4 linked regions of the Drosophila melanogaster genome follow. The protein of the gene in region 2 interacts with the protein of the main gene of each other region in a pairwise test. Each region holds a gene or a part of one and is shown on either strand. Other genes may lie near its edges.

Region 1 (4,917 bases), on a different chromosome or scaffold from region 2:
AGTTTTGTGGTATTCAAATATTTATTCGAATTTCTCATGCGCTAATTTAATACAAACGAAACTGAAAATATTTTTAAATTCGATAAATAATTTGATTTTGATTTAAGGCGGAATTGACATTCTGACATTCTTACATTTTTTTTTTTTTTTAAATTTTGAGTGCCAATGGTGAATGCAATGACTTTCATTGCTGAAATTGTTCACTTAAATTGCAATTGCAATTAATGAATTCGCTTAATGTATCCATTCAACGAATACATTGCACATTTTCCATGCCTTTTTTTTATTGTTGAATGGGCTTTGTTTCGCTGTTTTTCTCATTGGAAAAGACTATCTCAAACAAAGTATTCAACCTGATTTCGTTGCTTACTCTTATTAGCAAATCTCACCTTGACATTGGGCTGTTGCAGTTGCAAGAAGGTGGCTACTCCATTGCGCACACGATTCTTGACGCCCCGTACGGTTCCCTTGGCGGATTTAATTGTAGAATTGCCGGCGAGCTTGCCCGCCGTTCGAATGTCACGAAAGCCAACAAAATCCTCACCCGGCTGCTCATCCGTAAAGTGCTGCGCTTCGTATTCCGTCGAGGAATTGGAACCAAAACTCCGGAAATTCTCGTGTTCGCGCACATGGAATGTGTAATAGCCATCCGTTTCGAATTGCAATGGTCTGCCATTGATTTTGGTGACCAGAGGACCGGACGCTCGTTCCCTGAATCGAATATCCCGCAGCAGGGTAGTGGGCAGCAGGCCACCAGAGTGCAGGGAATCGCAGCTTAGCGATGAGTTGCTGCTCTCATCGCATTCCTCGCTGTCATCGGTGAGGCTATATGCTCGCTTCGGAACGGGACTCGGCGTCTCCAGCGGGCTGTGCTTATGGTCCGCCTCCTCGTTGACCATCAGCCGCGTGGTCTGCAGATGAAGCTCCAGTTGCGGTGATCTCACCTGTTGCGGCTGCTGCTGCTGCTGCGGATGATTCTCCAGATCGCTGCCCGTGCCACTGTCCAAGGTCTCGCAGGGCGAGTACTGGCCACTGGTGTCCACCAAATAGCACATGTGCTGCTGCATCTCCTCCACGCCCTCGTTCAGCTTCACCACACTTATCTGCTTGCCCAGTGTTCGCTGCTGACCCTGGCTTTCGATTTGAATCTTCACCGTATTGTTGTGTTGCAATGTTGCCGCTGTGTCCGCTGCTGTTGCTGCTGCTTGACTGGCGGCAATTTCACCATTGCAGCTGATTATGGTCGGTGATGTTGCTGTTGCTGCTGCTGCTGTTGCTGCTGATGCTGCTGCTTCTGCTGATGCTGTTGCACCGGCAATTTCTCCGCCAATGCGCAACAGTAACTGCGGATAGATTTTGTTGGTCTCTGGTGCTGCTGTCGACTTTGCTGCAGTGTCGTAACTAGTTTCCAAATTATCTTTGGCTGTTGCTGCTGTGTCGCCAAATGCCAGCAACATGCCAGCAGCCTGTGACTTGAGCGACATTTCAGTGTTGCTGTTGCTCTTGGCAGTTGGTGCTACTTGTTTTGTTGCGGCTTCTGCTTCGGCAGTTGCGGTTGTTGTTGCTGGTGGTGGTGTTGCCGTTGCCACTTCTGGCGATTCAATGATTATGGAAATACCGCGCATTGGCTCCAATCGCGACACATTGCTAGTAATTGCCGCCATGGTTCTGCAGCATCTGGTTGTCGATATCCGATTTCAGATATCCAGTGCCTAGATCTCGTGCCTCCAAGCTGATGCAATCAAGTGCCGGCTAATGATGTTGCTCCTGTGCGTTCCACTTGCAGCTGCCTCTGCCTCTGCCTCTGTCTCTGCCGTTGACCGTTGCCAAGTGCTTTACAGTTAGAATGCCGCCTGCATACGATTGAAGTAATTGCCGCAGTTGCCTCTGCAAGAAATGTATTTATGCCAATGAAATAAAGTTTTATTTATTTTCGACTGAAATTTTGACGAGCCGTTGAGATTCTAATAGTCTAAAAAATGTCTAAATATGACCCCAAAGCTAACCAAGATAGGTATTTTCAATTTCTCCAAGTGTGTTAGACGCCGCCACACGAGCTTGACATTTAAGTTGAAGATGATGCTGAATAAATGTTAAAGGCTTTACCAGCATACTAAAAATACAGATGGGAAACCAGACAAAAAAAAAAATAATAATAATCATAATAATGATAAACACGAAACACCGCAAAAAGCAGAAAGAACTGGCTAAAGAATGTCGTAAGCAAAAGGAATATAAAATTCTGAATACCCTGTAATTTTTGCAGCTAATCATTTCTTTTCTATACATATTTGTAAACTAAGCAATTAATTGAAACAATTTAAATATAAACAAAAGATAGTTATTGTAACGAAATCAACTTCAGATATCATTTCGTTATTAATGTAGCTACATATGTATGTATGTAGCAAGCCGTATCGATTAGTGCAGCAACTTTTTCGATTCCGACAGTGAATGTTCTTCAAACTTAAGAACGAGTCGGAATTTACATTTAAATTGCTGAGGAGGAACTTGAAATATTGGGCGCGCACAGCCCGCGGCATTTTTGACTGCGGTTTTTTACGATTTTTTTTTTTCTCTTTGGAATCTGGAAACTGGTTACACTTGAACCTGGTATTTGTGTTTTTTTTTTCGTTTGTTGTTTGGAAATATTTACCCGTTGGTATTGCTGTTGTTGTTGTTGCTGCTGCTGGCCTGCATTCGCCGCTTATTGCACACAATTTTCATTTGATAGCATACCAAACAAACACACACACAAAAATAAAACAAAAATTGAAAAAATCGAAAAAATCAAAAAATTCAGAGATTTTTTATTGGACTATATTTTTTCATATATTGCACACACGCACGCAGTCTGTTTTTTTCCTTTAGATTTTCATGTTGCTGTGCTTACTATCAATCTTTGATCTTTCGTTGGGATTCTTCAGTTACTATATGTAATATATATGTATATATATGCACATGTATATCGGCTTGAAAACACGACTTTTGAGAACTCGCCGCGCGTACAATCCATTCAAAATCGCGCTGGCAACTGAAGCCGCAGCAACAAAGTCGCTTTGGGTTGGCGTGTTTCGCCAGGGATTGTTTTTTTTTTTTTTTTTTTTTTACCACTTCTTCTTCTTCGCATAGTTTCCTCTCTGTCTGCCGCCCATTCGCCGACTCTTTCTCAAGCCAGTTGTTGTTGAGGTTTTTTTAATTTTTGCTTTCAAGAAACTCACAAAAAAAAAGCAGCAGCCGCTGAAATTACCTAAAACAAAAATAAAAGAGCTTCAAGGCGATGGTTTAAATACACTGTCAGCAGATTTATTAGCTTATTAAGTACGCAATTAAGTCAGATTTCAAGTATTGCCCTAATAATTAATAATATTTACTTGCTACACATTTGCTTAATTATTTTTCAATTATATTGAAAATATATTATATTTATTATTAAATGCATAGAAATAGGTTGCATTTATTTGACATAGCCTGCATGTTGCACGATGAGTGCAAAAGTCAACTTACCCCAAAGGAAAAAGCGGGCAACAAATATGCGCCGCTGAGAATTTGTTTACGTGCGCATGCGCAGCCGCTGTCGACGGCGCTGCCTCTGCCGCAGTCGCTGCCCATGTCGACGTCGGCACTTGTCCGTCGCTTTTATTATTGTTATTGTTATTGCTGGTCTTGTTGCTGCCGCTGCTGTTGCTGCTGCTGTTGCTGGCGGCGCAGTACTCGTTTGTTGCCAAAGTTAATTGTTTGGTGCCACAGCTGCACAGTGGGACATCGAGAGTGCGCGGGGCACAGTGGGCAGTGGCAATTGGATGGCTGAATGGAATGTGGCAAGGCCTCAAACTGGTTTTCAGTTTTTAGGGGCTCAGGTGCGGCGATAACGCGATTGAGACTTCAACACGAGAGCAGGAATTCCGATTCCGCTGGCAATCAAAACAGCTTGCCGATCAAATTGGTTCAGTTCGAACCAAGAAATATATATATGTATATATATATATAATAAACATATGCACTTCTGGATCTCTGAAGCTGAAAAAGCTAACGAGTTGACCCCATGCTGATTCTAGTTTCAAACGAATCCTCCTCTTTGGACGCATTGGTCGCATTGTCGCCCAGAAATTTCCGCCTTAGAAATATGTACATATGTACAACTTAAGCATAAACAACAACTTTCCATCAAGCGACTTCGTCGCTCCGGCTGAACAATTGCCAAATGGATTTTAGCTTTTAATTATATTTAATACCAAAGTGTTTATGCAAAGGAAAGAAAAAAAAAGAAAAAAACCGAAAGAAAGACGCCTCGAATTTGTGTGTGCAATCAACGGAATGTAAAGCTGCACTTGCAGTATGCAGAAAGTACGAGTGCAGCAGCCACATGCAACAGGCGCTGCAGCTTGTAATTTACCGCTAATTCGATGCAGTGAGACGTCCAACGATGACGACCACTAATGTATGGTATGCATGTACGTATGTATGTACTTATGTATGTTTGTGCTTGCCACCGCCACCCGTACCGCCCCCAGTGGTAGAGGTACCGCTCCGCCCAGCACGATGGCCGGTCACTTGGCCAGTTTGTTTCCGCCTGTTGCGCTCCGCTGAAGTCACAAGGGCTGCTGCAGGCGTTGGCCAATTCAGATTACCGTTGCACATGCGCACACACACTCACACACTTTGCTGCACTGTGAGAAAGGAGTGACACTTGTCCATCGATTGCCAATGAAAAAAAAATATTTTTTAAAGAATTTTGTCGCCTTTCGTTACATTTGTATATGTTTTACAACTTATTTATCTACATTTAACAATTTAATTCCATTTTTTTTTCACTGTGTATTACTTCTAGTCAGTGAAAAGAAACTAGCCAAGCTTCACTAATCAATGGAGAAGTTTTTATGAATTCAGGATTTGTAAAGGAGTCGTAGGCTAATT
Region 2 (4,817 bases):
AAAAAACATTTTAAATGATAAGCTCACTCGTGTCCTTTAGATTTTAATTAAAGAAGTTTTTTGAAAAAACGTGGGATTTTAAACATTTTGAAGATTCAAAATGAAAACATGCTGTTAAGTAGAATCATACCTTAAATAATTTATGCTCATCTTATTTAAACCTAATAAATATTTAATACTTAAATGTATTTTCCGGAATAAAAAATAATTAGAAAATTAGAAAAAAAATATTATTGAAAAATATAGAAAATATACAATTGTTGTAGGCATATCACTAAAAACTATTATTTTTATACTTATTATTAAAGTTATTATATTATATTATTATTATTATTATTATACCTATTAAAAAGCAATTATTATAAATTTGCAATAAGTATTATAGTAATCAGTAAGGCGACAATCATAAAATAAAAATATGCCCTACTTGTCTCTCTGGCAACTCTGGAGGAATACCTTGCTTGTTGTCATTTGATCTATATTTAGAACCGTCTAAAATTAGTTCGAAAATAATCCTATTCGAACTAGACCGATTCTTTTGATAGATTAATTTTTGCAATTTAGGTTAAGGGATTAGTCATTCTTCCTCGGGAAGCTGGAACTCAACCTTATTGGTGTTATGTATCCAAAGATACATATATGTACGTGCGAAAATACACGTTTTATAGAATGAATATGCATGGGGCCCCAAATCTAATTTAGCGACATCCATTTGTTTTTCCATGTAGTATAGCAACCGAACCGCGCCACAAATACATACATCTGTATCCAAGTATTTGAATACAGCGAGAATTGGGTAAAATGTGTGGAGGAGGAGAGTGTGGAGGATCCACAGCAACGATTGGCCTCACCGGATTGTGCCATAAAACGTAAACATGCCCCACTTAGTTGCAGCCCAAAAATAGATTGCACCGAACCCAATTTAAATGGGTACCCTGCAAAGCCGGCATGTAACGGTTAAGCTCCCCCCTCCCATCCCCCTTACTAACATCTTACAGCCCGATTTGTAAATAAACAATTAGTTGAATATAATGCTCATTGCACGAGGGGCGTAGACATGGGCGTGGGCGTGGATCTTGGGCGAGAGCGCAATGAGAAATATGACCAAAATTAGAAACGAAAGGCATGAAGGTGCAAAGGCTGGGAAATGATAGAGATGCGATTTGACTAAGGCTGTGCGTTTGTGTGTGTGTACATATCGAAAATAGAAAATGAATTTATTACGACATGAGAAAAACACGAAAGTTATGAAAACAACGAGCCGTACGAGAAAATAGAAGCCAGCAACAAAGCGAATATATCCACCCACCCAATCCCCCACCGTAACGAACCGACCCAAAAAGTATCCAAACCGAACCGAAACATATAGCAAATATAGCAGATATAGCAGATATAGCCGATATGGCCGATATAGTGGGAGAACAGGAGAGAGAGAGAGAGCGACTCGCTGAGAATGAGCAAACGAGTGTGAGTGTGCTGGAGGCGCCTCCTTGCCTTATACGGCACTTTTTGAGACTGCAAACGATCGTGAGCAGGCAGCCGATCGTGCCCGATCCCAACCGATACGATCTCCACGCTCGATCACGCCGAACTATACTGCGCTATATGCTATATGGTATTCCTATACGTATAGCATGCCATACCATATTGTGCCTCTCGCTCGTTCGCCTTATGTTTTCCAAAGAGCCCCCTATGCTGAAGGATCTATTTTTAGGCGGATCGGCCGGTGGGCAGCATTATCGCATCCATGAGCATATTTCCTCGCTGTGTGTATTCGTTTGAGTATTTCTTTTGCCATTGGTATGGGGGCGTGGCGGGGGCGGTGGCGGCGGGGGGCATGGCGACGGCGCTTCTTGGACGAGATGGCATTTCGGCGGCGGTATAAAATCCGAGTACCAACGCGGCGATACTTTAGTCAGTCAGTTGTGTTCCAAGCCGTACACACCGTAACTCTTGATTTAATTCACCCGTGGTGCCGTAAAAAAAACAAAACTAAAACAAAATGTGTGACGATGAAGTTGCTGCTCTGGTCGTTGACAATGGTGCGTATTCCCCATCGAACGGATTATCGTCTTGGCTTTTGCTAAAAGAGAAAAAAAAGAAAGAGAAATAGACAAAGGACCCAACAGCGAAAGGATATTCCCGCATCTAGTGCTAAAGTGATCGCAAAGTGAACGATTTTCGAGTTGTGATTAACTCACGCATCCTTCGGGACACAAGCAATTAGAAATTTGAATATAACAAAAAAAATATTCCAATGCCTTGGATGATTTCGAGAAATATATATTTTAAATATTAGTTATTGAGCAATATTTTCAATTCAAGTCAAAGAATCATAAATATTCAGATAAAGAAAAGCTAAAATATTATATTTTGCACAGAATCAAAACCGATTTGCATAAGTTTTATAAAGATTTTTTGTGCCCGAATCACTTTCATAAGTTTTGATGCTTGAAAGCTTTTCAAGAGATCATGATATTAGAGAAGAGGAATATTTCAGAAATCATATATCTTCAGATATTTCTCTATACGAGAGAAGAAGACAGATCACATATTTTCATGAGAGAATTTTTCTCTCCGCCCCAAACTTTTCCAGTTTTTTCGACTTAGTCGCCAGACTTTTTCACGCTGTCCGTTAGAGCAAATGTTAGACTCCCAGTGTGGGAAACCCCACATGAAGCACTCGAGCGCCCACTAATGGACCCCTGTTCGATTGTGTTATCCTGCAGGCTCCGGCATGTGCAAGGCCGGTTTCGCCGGTGATGACGCTCCCCGTGCCGTCTTCCCCTCCATCGTCGGTCGTCCACGCCACCAGGGTGTGATGGTCGGTATGGGCCAGAAGGACTCGTACGTCGGTGATGAGGCCCAGTCCAAGCGTGGTATCCTCACCCTGAAATACCCCATCGAGCACGGTATCATCACCAACTGGGATGATATGGAGAAGATCTGGCACCACACCTTCTACAACGAGCTGCGTGTTGCCCCCGAGGAGCACCCCGTCCTGCTGACTGAGGCCCCCCTGAACCCCAAGGCTAACCGCGAGAAGATGACCCAGATCATGTTTGAGACCTTCAACTCGCCCGCCATGTACGTCGCCATCCAGGCCGTGCTCTCCCTGTACGCCTCCGGTCGTACCACCGGTATCGTTCTGGACTCCGGTGATGGTGTCTCCCACACCGTCCCCATCTATGAGGGTTATGCTCTGCCCCATGCCATCCTCCGTCTGGATCTGGCTGGTCGCGATTTGACCGACTACCTGATGAAGATCCTGACCGAGCGCGGCTACTCTTTCACCACCACCGCTGAGCGTGAAATTGTCCGTGACATCAAGGAGAAGTTGTGCTATGTTGCCCTGGACTTCGAGCAGGAGATGGCCACCGCCGCCGCCTCCACCTCCCTGGAGAAGTCGTACGAGCTTCCCGACGGACAGGTGATCACCATCGGCAACGAGCGTTTCCGTTGCCCCGAGTCCCTGTTCCAGCCTTCCTTCCTGGGAATGGAATCCTGCGGCATCCACGAGACCGTCTACAACTCCATCATGAAGTGCGATGTGGATATCCGTAAGGACCTGTACGCCAACATCGTCATGTCCGGTGGCACCACCATGTACCCCGGTATTGCCGATCGTATGCAGAAGGAGATCACCTCCCTGGCCCCATCCACCATCAAGATCAAGATCATTGCTCCCCCAGAGCGCAAATACTCCGTCTGGATCGGTGGCTCCATCCTGGCCTCTCTGTCCACCTTCCAGCAGATGTGGATCTCCAAGGAGGAGTACGACGAGTCCGGCCCTGGCATCGTCCACCGCAAGTGCTTCTAAGCAGTTGCAGTTGCCTAGCACCAACACTAGCACCACCCGGTCTACTCACCTGTCTCCTGCTCATCTGGTCCTGCTATTTGTGGTGGTTCTGGGTGTGTGGGCGGCTGGTGCTCCACCGGCAAAAACAACAAACACCACCACCATCCAACCATTTGTTTTTGAATGTCATTATTTACCAACGTGTCATCCTTGGTTCGAGAATACTCTTTTGTACTGACTGAACACAACACCATCAATCAAAATGAATTGTCAATCTAATGCCACGGACCGCGATCCCCATCCACTTGTTAATCGCTCGCGGTTTCCTTAAATGTTGATCGCCATTTGATTGTTTTACGAATGAACCGACACCCTCATGTATTTTGTACAGAACCTAACAACTTCCCCGATAGAGCGGATGGGGTCTATTGACTACGAAATGTAAAATAATCTCATGATTGTAATATTAATTAAAACAATTTATAATTATTTATAAATAAAAACGATTTTTTAGATTTAATTTTTTCTAAAAACATAGAGATTTTGGAAAAAATTGGGGGGGGGCATCTAGCCGGGAAAGCAAATCCTAGCCGAAGCTTTCCATCGATCAGTAGTTCAAGATACATACAATATATATGTACATTTATGGATCTATGTGTGATGTGTGAGCTTTTTTCACCTCCAGACGCGACGGTGCGTTTCAAATTTCCCGAATACCATACCGTAAAGCTTTCTATTCCCAAAATATTTCTGGTTTCGAAACGATTTTCGAATATTTTTAGACGCATTCCAAAATGGGTGAGGCGGCGGACAGGCGAGCGATTTTTTGTTTGTTTATGCCATGAGGAAATACGATCGGAGATGACGCAAGTCGGATGGATGATCAAAGGCGGCGGCCAAAACAAATTGCCAATGTCAATTTGTTGCCGCTCTCGGCAAACTGATTACCAGAAATGCATTTCACTTTGAGGAATAATGGATGGAATATATACATATATAGTGTATGGTGGCAATGCCA
Region 3 (4,769 bases), on a different chromosome or scaffold from region 2:
TCAACCGATTCCGAGTTTGTTGAAGAATGTAACAATATTAATTTAAATTTGAAATATATAATCCAGAATAGATTAGCCTGCAGATAAATCCAGTATATCCACAATTATCGTGATTTAATTGGTTACGTAAATTATTTTAATTGGATATGATTCTATTCTCAGCATGTTCAGATCGCAAATCATTAATAATTAAATAGAGAAAACAAATGTTTAAACAGTACTAATCTGACTTATATGCACAGTAGTTAGAGTAGCTACTATGTGTATTTTGAAATATGTAATAAAAAACATTGTCTCATCAATTTACGAAATATTTCATTGCAATTTCAAGCACTCATTGCTAAGATGATTCTCAAGCAAGATTTGCCGAAAAATTGTGATTCACGAGTGTTGCATAAAATTTGTATATTCCTGGCAAATGATTTGGACAGCAACGAATTTGACAACTTCAAGTGGCTGTGGCAGCTGCCAACCCGCTGCCACGCCCACTCCCACCATTCCGCCCATCTGTGGGGGTATCTGCGATTCGCTGGCAGCTTCTTCAGCAATTTATGCATTCAAGTGGCAGCCAAAGGCAGCGAACAGCAAACGCTGATGATGACAATAAAGGACGCTGGATCTGCGATGCTGCGCCGAGCATTCCTGATATTTTGCCATTTGTAGTTACTTGTGTTGTATCTGTAAGATGCATTTGGCTGATTGTCAAGTGCCACGCTTTGTTATCAGCATGCTGACATCATTATCCGGCAAAGGCAGCGACTTTAAACTTTAATCTGCTGCAGAGTGGAATTAAAACATTTTTTCATATCCAACAGATTGTATTTACTAATAATTACGTATTATATGCATAATAATTTATTTATATTGCTCCAAGTCACAATTACATCGAGGTAATCTTTAAGATTCTACCAGAATATTCCAGATCAAGAAGGTATAAGAGGAACGTACTACGTAGAAGAGTGCAAATCAGAATTCCCGGTGCTTATCAATTTTCTTTGTTTTTAAAGTCAAAAGGTTGACTGTGTTTTTTAATAACTAATTATGTGCACATAAAAATGAGAAAGTAAAGAGAAGGAAAACAAATATGTATGTTGCATATGTGTACAAATTGCATATTAGTTAGTTCCGTTATACGTATTACTTAGGGCAAGTTAACATTTAGTTTTCAAGTATTAATCATTTAAATGTTAATTTATGAAGTGCATCATGATTGGATTGCTTTTAAGCCTTTCACTTACCTGGCAATGTGAAAACGCCGCTAAGGGCTAGCACGGTCATCAGCAAACCGAACAAGAGCTTCATTTTTGTTTGGTTTTTTTTTTTTCACAAGCTTATAATTTGTTTAATTTGTATAGTTTATTTAGGGCTGAAAGCTTTGATGCGTTGATGTGGACCGGCAACCGGATTCGATTCTGTTCAGTTTTGTTCTGTGCGGAAAGACAAACAATCGTCAAATGCGCTTAAATGATTTGAGGAAGCGGCAAATAAACGGCGGCCGGCTGAGTGAGTGAGCGAGTGAGAAACCGAGTGAGTGACTAGCTGACCGCTCTCTTGCTCTCCCTCTCACTCAATTAGCCGCTGGGCTTATAAATATTCCAAATGGCAGGCGGCAAGTGTTGTGGGAAGAGCGCTACACTGTGCCCGTCAACTGGGTACAATATTTGGGGACTCCACTGTGTACAGAATGCAGCGTATTAGTAATGTTCTTAGGCACATTTAAGTTAACTTTTATTTTCGTTACACCTTTTTGTTTCCGTTATAGCTTACTGGTTCATTAACTATTGTATCTACTACTATAAAAAATATAATATAATATAACTTTATCTTTATAATTATATATATATAAAAGCAGTTCTAAAAGGGCATTTGCTACTAATATTTTAAAATTTCGATTAAAAGGGTGTTTGAAAGTCGCCGTTGCTCATTGAACCTTTTGTAAATTTAGTTGTGTTTTCAATTTACTTAATCAGTTTTTGTCTATGCTTCGTTAGCTGCACGCGGGCTTCTCTATTCCACTATATTTGTATTTCAGACTTTAAATGTGTCCCTGTCACAGTTGCTGAATGTTTCAGTCGCCCCATTCGTATTTCAATTCCACTTCGATTGCATTGTATGGAACTATGTCTATTCAACGGCTGCTCGAATCACCTGTTAAATGCGCTTGGTGTTTAGTTCAAGGTTGTTGTTTCTGTAAACAAAAGCATCATTTGCTTATTTCCCTAATGGGCAGCTATTGAGAATTTTCTTCCAAGGAAATGAAAACGGAGCTAAAGACTATTCTCAGTAATTAAATGGTTATGATAGAGTGCTTCTTTTTAATTCCATCGATAAAGTAGTCACGCCTTGATTGAGCCGGGTTTAATCACGATTTTACTAACGAATATGCCAAAGATCGGCAATTTATTGGAAATCTTTAGTTAATCCGATTATGAATGATCTTTTTGACCCGAGAGAACTTACGATATAACACCCAATTACAGTTCTGATAAATATAAAAAGCCGTAAAGAATTTGTATAATTATACACTGATTTAAATCTAGAATGTATTATAATCTCAAAATGAACTGGAATTTTTGCACATCAGAAAATTATTTAAATATCTTGCCCGACAGTAAATTTTTCAAGGTCTTCAAAATTAGCAACTATAAACTTTAAATAGCATTTTTAATGTCTGATAGTTTTAGAAAGCTATTGTTTATGTTGGGCTCAGCATAAAAGTGAGCACAAGTAAATATTTCGCAAACAGCTGCGTGAAGTAAATTAGGCATCCAAATTATTGCCCAGACAGCCTAAACAAGCTGCAAATTGTTTGTTTGTAAACATTTTTGTCAGCGCCGAAGCGGAAATTGTTCACGCACACAATTTCATTCACATACACATGCCGACAACCGCGAATTTGCATAAATTTTATTATTGTTACCGGTGTCATACAGTTATTTCTGTGGATCGCTTGAATCACTCGATTTCGAAAGATCGGAGAAGAACGCGCGATCTTCAACGTGCGTTGGCTTTAATGAAACGTTTCGGACTAAACGGTTGCGTACGATTTTGGCTTCATTTATACCAGCTCACGTCGTTGGCACTCAAAAAAAAACAAAGAATTGAGAAGAGAGACCGGGAAAGGGAGGAATGCGCAGAGAAGAATACGAGAGCGAAGAAGGGTCTTCCGAGTGCTCCAAATGTGCATTCAACAATGTTTTAATTAAAAAAAAAAAAGAAAAATAACTAAAGAACTTTCAATTTTATATTTTTACAACAGATCCACTACCAAAGATGCCCCATCCTGTTTACCCAAAAAGTAGCAGAAATTTTACAAAAAGAATATTCATTGACACGTCAGTGGGAGCAAAAATGAATGTCGCCAGCGGAACGCGAATGTCCTCCAGTGCAGTCCCTTGACCAAAACCGTTGGAGTTCGAGGTGTATGTATAAAAATCAGAAATTCAAAGCGGATGGCCGACAGCGCCGAGAAAGAGGCGGGGATATAGTTAGCGACAAGGAACGCGCGCCAAGCTACGTTCTTGGATTGACAATGAAGTCCACCTGCCCCCTTTTACCTGAACTTGCCTCTTGGGAGCCGTGTTGCTTTATGGTTTTCGACCAGATTGAAATCGCGATCGGCGCAGCTACAGCTGTTAAAATCTCCTGCAGGCTGCTCTTCATGCTCTACAACTTGTAATTCTTGTCGTGGTCCCACGAACCGGATTCTGTTTTAACTACACTTTCGTTGGTTTTATTCGAACTGCTATTTTCGTTTTACTAAATACAGGTTTGATTGCACTATGCCTTTAAGTGGCAGAGGAGCATTTAAAATAAATTACCATTTTCGGTTAATCGTTGACACAACATTCTTGCGGTCGAGTCAATAAATTCCCCAAAAAACAAGATTTGGTTGTCAAGGCTTCGAAGTGAGAAGAATTTGAGTCAGCTTAGTCCTACATATATTTAAGTGAGTAAAGCTTGGCTTTTAGGACCAACGATATTTTAAAATATCAGATTGACTTGTTTTTAAATAAACTATTTACAATGCTATGATCTTCAGGTAAATATCGTAGTATATTTTCTATTTTTTTATATATACTAATTATATATATTTTTCTTTATCATTTGCAGTCTCTTAATTAGTCATAAATCTTTCGAATTTAAATTTAGACACCGGATGACAGACAGAAACACTCACAGATTATAACGAAACGTGCTCTTGACCTTGACACTGTTGGAAAAAAATGAAGTACCCATATTCAGATATTTATTTTAGGATTGAATATTTTTAGAATGTTTTAAATTTCCTTGATAAACTTTATTCTTGCGCCATCTATGTACTTGCAGAAGACGCTGATACTAGCGCCACCTGGCAGCAGTAGGTTCTTAACATTTCTGTTAATTTTACAGAGCTGGAAATATGCTGGCTGTTCGAACGAGAGTTGCCAGATGAATTTAGACGTTGCCTTGGTAACGGTTTTCACTTGATTTTATTGTCGAAATAAAATAAATAAAGAAGGAAAACAAATATAAGGGACTAAAATAAAATAATAATGTTTCGTCGTGGAAAACTATCCTTTCTAAACACCAAAGATGACCGTGTTAAAATAATAAACGAGCGCATAAACATAACAGAAAGGCATCTAATGGAGATGTGCTCTTCGTTTGCTTTGGTAACGCGGAAAATGGCCAAGTGAGTTTGGTAAATAAATAAATCTGAATGAATAATCATAAGACCTTGCAGATATCGGGACTCCTTTGATGAGTTGGCCAAGAGTGTGAAGAGC
Region 4 (4,727 bases), on a different chromosome or scaffold from region 2:
TTCAGTGCCAACGGAAAAGGATTAAAGCAAACTGTCGGAAATTCAACCAGAAGGATTAAAAGTTTTGCTCAAAAGGCCAAACTAAAGTTTGACTCCGAAGAACGTCGACAGTTGCCATATTTTCTGTGTCACTCTCTTTCCAAAGTTTCTTCTAGATATCCCCCAACTCTTACCATATGTTTGCCAGCTTTTTTTTCACTGTCATCTAACCAAGTCGAACTTTTTTCTAAACGAAAACATCAACTGGCTCCACATGGAAATTATTGCAGCAAATTTCTTTCCAAGTTGGGTGCGAACAAAAACGGAAAATTTCCTGTTCTTCTAATGACCAACAGAGCAAGGGAGATAACTCCGGGTTTGGGCCAGGTGGATAGTTTTCCAAGTGCACGGCAATTAGATTTCGACGCCTGGGGCTTCTTAAGTTGGAGCTCTGAGACGGTGGCAGTGCTGAGATATGATTTATTTACCCAAAAAATGTAGGAGGAAACTAAAGATTGGTATCTGAAACGCAATCACTTTCCAAACTTAATTTAAATATCTGATAAATTTGCAAACTAACTTTGTAAACTTTGGAAAAAATATGTATGAATGATTTATATCGAGTGTGATGTTTGGTAACGAGGCAAGAACATATTTTTAATGTTTTTAAGAATATATATATGATATAGCACAGTCTTGCTATATCATATCCTAAGTAAATTGTGAGAGCATGCATTTCTTGTCCTCCTTTCCATGTCATTACTGATTTCAATTATTGCAAACAACTGTATGCAAAATGCATGCAATTAAGGCTAGAATAATCAATCAGCAATCAAAGCCTTTCCGAATTCAAGCTAATACACGTACATTTGCAACTATAATTATAACATTGACTGTCCCAATACCGATATAATTTTAAATGCAGTGCCATACCTGAACTACGAAACAATTGTGCCGAAAATAATATGTTATGCAAACACATTTGTGTTATTGGAATTTGGTAAAAGTATAAATAACACATTACGTATACGGCCGGTAAGCCATCCCATAAACGATTTTGAACATTTTAATTATAAGGAATTATAAATCTGATAAAATAAGGGTATATGCTCGCTAATATATGTTAAATTTAGAGTAATTAAATTTAGGTCCAAAATAACTGGAAATAATTTTTATAACAGCATGATACCAAAGGAAGGTAAAACTTTTTAAAATTTCTTGTTTTAGCATGAGATAGATAACACATGGAAGTAGTTTTGATTAACCTATAGCGACAACACATCTCAATATTATACTTTGATAATCCTTGTTCTTATATCCTTCTAAATGGCACCAGTAGAATCAACAAGCACTTGCCCAAAATGGCAACAGAACTGCAAGCGCTAACATTCGACTGTTGTTGGCCAACGAAAGTGAGAGTTCGTATAAGAGAGAAAGTGTCGGCGGGAGAGTCTCCCTCACCGCGTGCTCTCCCGACCAACTGTTAATTGAGGAAAATTGCAGCTGGGAAAACGGCAGCAGACCGCAACACGCATCAGGCATCAGGCCAATCGGGCGACGAACCTGAAAGCCGAGCACCGAGCGCAATTGTGGATCCGAGCGACTCTGCAGTCGGAAAACTCGCATCGGAAAATTCGCATCGGAAAACTCGCATGCACCATAACAAAATTCGCCGGCAAATGCGGCGCGCAGTATGCAAAACAACACCGGAACGTGCAGTTCAGTCACTGTATCTGAATCTAAAATAATAATATAAAACCAAACTACGAGCAAACCCAGGGTAAAGTAAACAAAAACTTCGCCAGCGCCAAAGACCAAATTCGATGAACGTGCGCGAAAAACTCAAACCAAATAGGGTGAGAGTGGCGAAAAAGTTGGGCGGGTGATAGATAACCCCCGGGGGCTTTTCCTGCTGCCTGCATCCAATCCAAATTAGCGGCCAAAAACGCAAGGAAAATAAACAAATAATTTTACTACCAGCCGCCGTCGAATCACAAATAAATCCGACGTAGAGTGAAAAATAACATTAGCGTCGCAATCCGAGGAATTGCAGAAACGCTTGCCAAATATTTTGAAAACCCCGAAAAGTGCGTGGTGTGCCATTTTATCGGATTCGAAAGGATGAGTGGCTAGATGACACAATATATTCAAGTGGTAAGCAAAATGTGCCTCGAGGAGCATCGAACGGGTTGCCTTGTGTGCACATCTAAAACGATTGGGTGCTATCTATCTCCAATGTGATTAGAAATATGTATGTACTATATAGTAAATAAAAAATAAGCTCTCCTCATCTACATATAAATATAATCCTAATTCTAGTTTTTGAACTTAAATTAAATATAAATATAGTTTAACTTGAAGGGTTTGCAATACTTTCGCTCTGTGCTTGGGTTTTCCATTTTCAACGTTCAAATGTTTGTGTGCGTTGAAATTTATCAGATAACTGAAATTCTGTGCGAATAGCAATTTGTAACTGTTGAATGTCTTGCGTTGAGGGAAAGAGGTTGGTCTTCCTACGAGGCGATGGGATGGGTTGAGGAACGAGGATGCCCGATGATGTGGAAACTGAGAAGGGCTGACCATCGACGGCAGCCGCAGTAAACCAGAAAGGATTTTGGGGAAACGAAACAAAATTTGACAAATTAGGGAATGCTGGAATGGTCGTAAATGTTATTCAGAGAAGTGCTATGCTGAGAATAAATGCAGAAATTGTTACGGAGACATGTTGATTAATTCGTTATGTGAGATGTGCAGAATAAAAATGCCAATTTAAGAAAAGAAATGCCAAGGCCACAAGTAATTTTCTTAATAAATATCCTGCATACATATTAAAGTGCAGCAGAAATTATTTGTTATTGGCTCATTACTCCTAGGGGTGTGGAATTTTGTAAACTTGATTTAATTGTAAGTAATTCCCATTTTATTATGAGAAAGTTAACCAAGTGGTTCAGAACCAAAGCTATGAGCTACTTACAATTTTTATAGAAGCCCTCTATGTTGTTCAGCTATGAAACTCAAGTTCCTTTAGCCTCCGTAGTTCCCCCTTCACACCAGATAACCCGGCGAATGAGCTCATCCAGCTAAGTAAAGTCCACTAAAACCGAACACCCCCTCCCCGCAAGACCAACTAAAAGGCACAAGGAGGCGGAGATAGCCACTGCCACCCCATGACCATAAAGCCCAATCAAAAGGCCGTTGCACTCGCTGACTAACGGACTAACTGAGTGAATGACGTGCCCTGGCCCAATCCTTCAGTCAATCGGTTTGATGGCCTGAGTCCGAATGTGGAGCTAGAAGCAGCACGGGAAGACAACGCAAACAGCAGGCGAAAGTGAAGGAGCAAGTCACGGAGGAGGAGCAAACGAAGCGTTTCAGCAGCTGCTGCTGCGACTCTGCAACTCGGGGCGTGTAATTTGTCAGACAGATTTCTTTTAGCGCCAGGACACAACCCCTCCCATCCAATCCAATCCAATGCTTCCTACACACCCACACTCAGCAATTGCCCACCCACAAAAAATACCGCCCACGTCATTGCAACAAAACTGCTTCCTTCCTGACTTTTTTGGCCATGCTCTTTGAAACTGAACTGGGCGTCCGACGAGGCTGGGATTGCTCTTACAAATCAGATATTCCCTTTAATTATATAATTTACAAATCTTTGTTCGTGAGTTTATACATTACATACATAAAATCGGAAGTGTTTTAATTTGCTTTTACTTTTGCATTTAAAAATGAATTATAATCAAGTTGATATAGTATGCAATTTTTTAGCTTGAAACTATAAATTGTACACTTTTAAATCCGTTTTATTTTATAATTTTAAATCAAGGATCTTAACAGAATAGACATTAAAAATTGTAGTCTTTCATTATAGGTTTGCACCATTGGTGACATATTTTGTCAATGTTTCTGATACCAAGTAGCATTTGGCAAAAATGTGGTTAAGATAAGAAAAAATGTATAAAACACCCCGGACTTTTATTAAAACCCATTGAATAAGTGAAAATGGGAACAGTCTGTGCAAAGGTATTGAAAAAGGAAGGGAAAGGAACGAGCCAGACATTGACATTTCAGTGCAAATGAAGTGATAAAACGTAAAGGCAAAGCGGCGTCAGCTAGAAAATTGCCAAAGTGGGTAAAGGAAGTGTAGGGAAAAGTGTGGAAGAGAGAGACAGACATAGTTGGGGAGAAAGAGACGGACGACTGAGCTAGATAGAGAGGGCCTGGCAGACAAAGCGCGTCGAAAATGCGTCTAATTTGATGGAAGCGATGCATGCCTTAACCTTTCGTCGGCGTCAGGCAAACAGACAGCAGCAACAACGAACACAACGATGACAGGCACCAAATGATAGCATTTCCTCCCAACTCAAAGGATCCGACTTAGCCAAGAACAAGGACACTGGCAAGGGAAAGGGAAGGGGAAAGAGTAGGAGAAGGGACCAGCCAACTGGGAGAGGATGAGCACCGGATTCAAATGGCGGAACAAGTGCCAGAGATGCTGATGTGGCGCCTCCTCAGCTGCTGACAACAAATTGATGGCCAAGGATGCACAGAAATTCCTCGGAAATTAGTCAACGCACAAGGGATTCCCACAAACTTCACTTAAAGGGGAAACCGTTCTGAAATATTAGACCGTTGTTAATATCCCAATCCTTCATGCTTTCCCAAAACAAAATTCACTTTCTTTCCTTAATCAGAACGAAAAAATATCCAAAAAAGTCCCTCAAAAATACAAATTTAGATTTAGT

What was found.
Region 1: the proteins of Act57B (region 2) and CG12206 interact in a two-hybrid assay, tested with the Drosophila melanogaster proteins (one large-scale study listed by BioGRID).
Region 3: the proteins of Act57B (region 2) and vir-1 interact in a two-hybrid assay, tested with the Drosophila melanogaster proteins (one large-scale study listed by BioGRID).
Region 4: the proteins of Act57B (region 2) and AstC-R1 interact in a two-hybrid assay, tested with the Drosophila melanogaster proteins (one large-scale study listed by BioGRID).

The regions. Positions count from the first base shown.
Region 1 is NC_004354.4:3,471,485-3,476,401, forward strand, and holds the start of CG12206 (uncharacterized protein), read right to left. Parts: upstream 3,041-4,917; 5' UTR 2,657-3,040; intron 1,967-2,656; exon of another isoform or gene 1,888-1,966; 5' UTR 1,665-1,887; coding exon 390-1,664; intron 1-389.
Region 2 is NT_033778.4:20,942,115-20,946,931, forward strand, and holds Act57B (actin 57B), read left to right. Parts: upstream 1-1,906; 5' UTR 1,907-2,002; coding exon 2,003-2,042; intron 2,043-2,729; coding exon 2,730-3,820; 3' UTR 3,821-4,317; downstream 4,318-4,817. UniProt on the Drosophila melanogaster protein: Actins are highly conserved proteins that are involved in various types of cell motility and are ubiquitously expressed in all eukaryotic cells.
Region 3 is NT_033779.5:12,420,403-12,425,171, forward strand, and holds the start of vir-1 (virus-induced RNA 1), read right to left. Parts: upstream 3,038-4,769; 5' UTR 2,921-3,037; intron 1,461-2,920; exon of another isoform or gene 1,428-1,460; 5' UTR 1,303-1,427; coding exon 1,239-1,302; intron 1-1,238. Other genes in the region: Fam92, read left to right, coding at 4,536-4,675, 4,727-4,769.
Region 4 is NT_037436.4:18,558,572-18,563,298, forward strand, and holds the start of AstC-R1 (allatostatin C receptor 1), read left to right. Parts: upstream 1-1,686; 5' UTR 1,687-2,133; intron 2,134-4,727.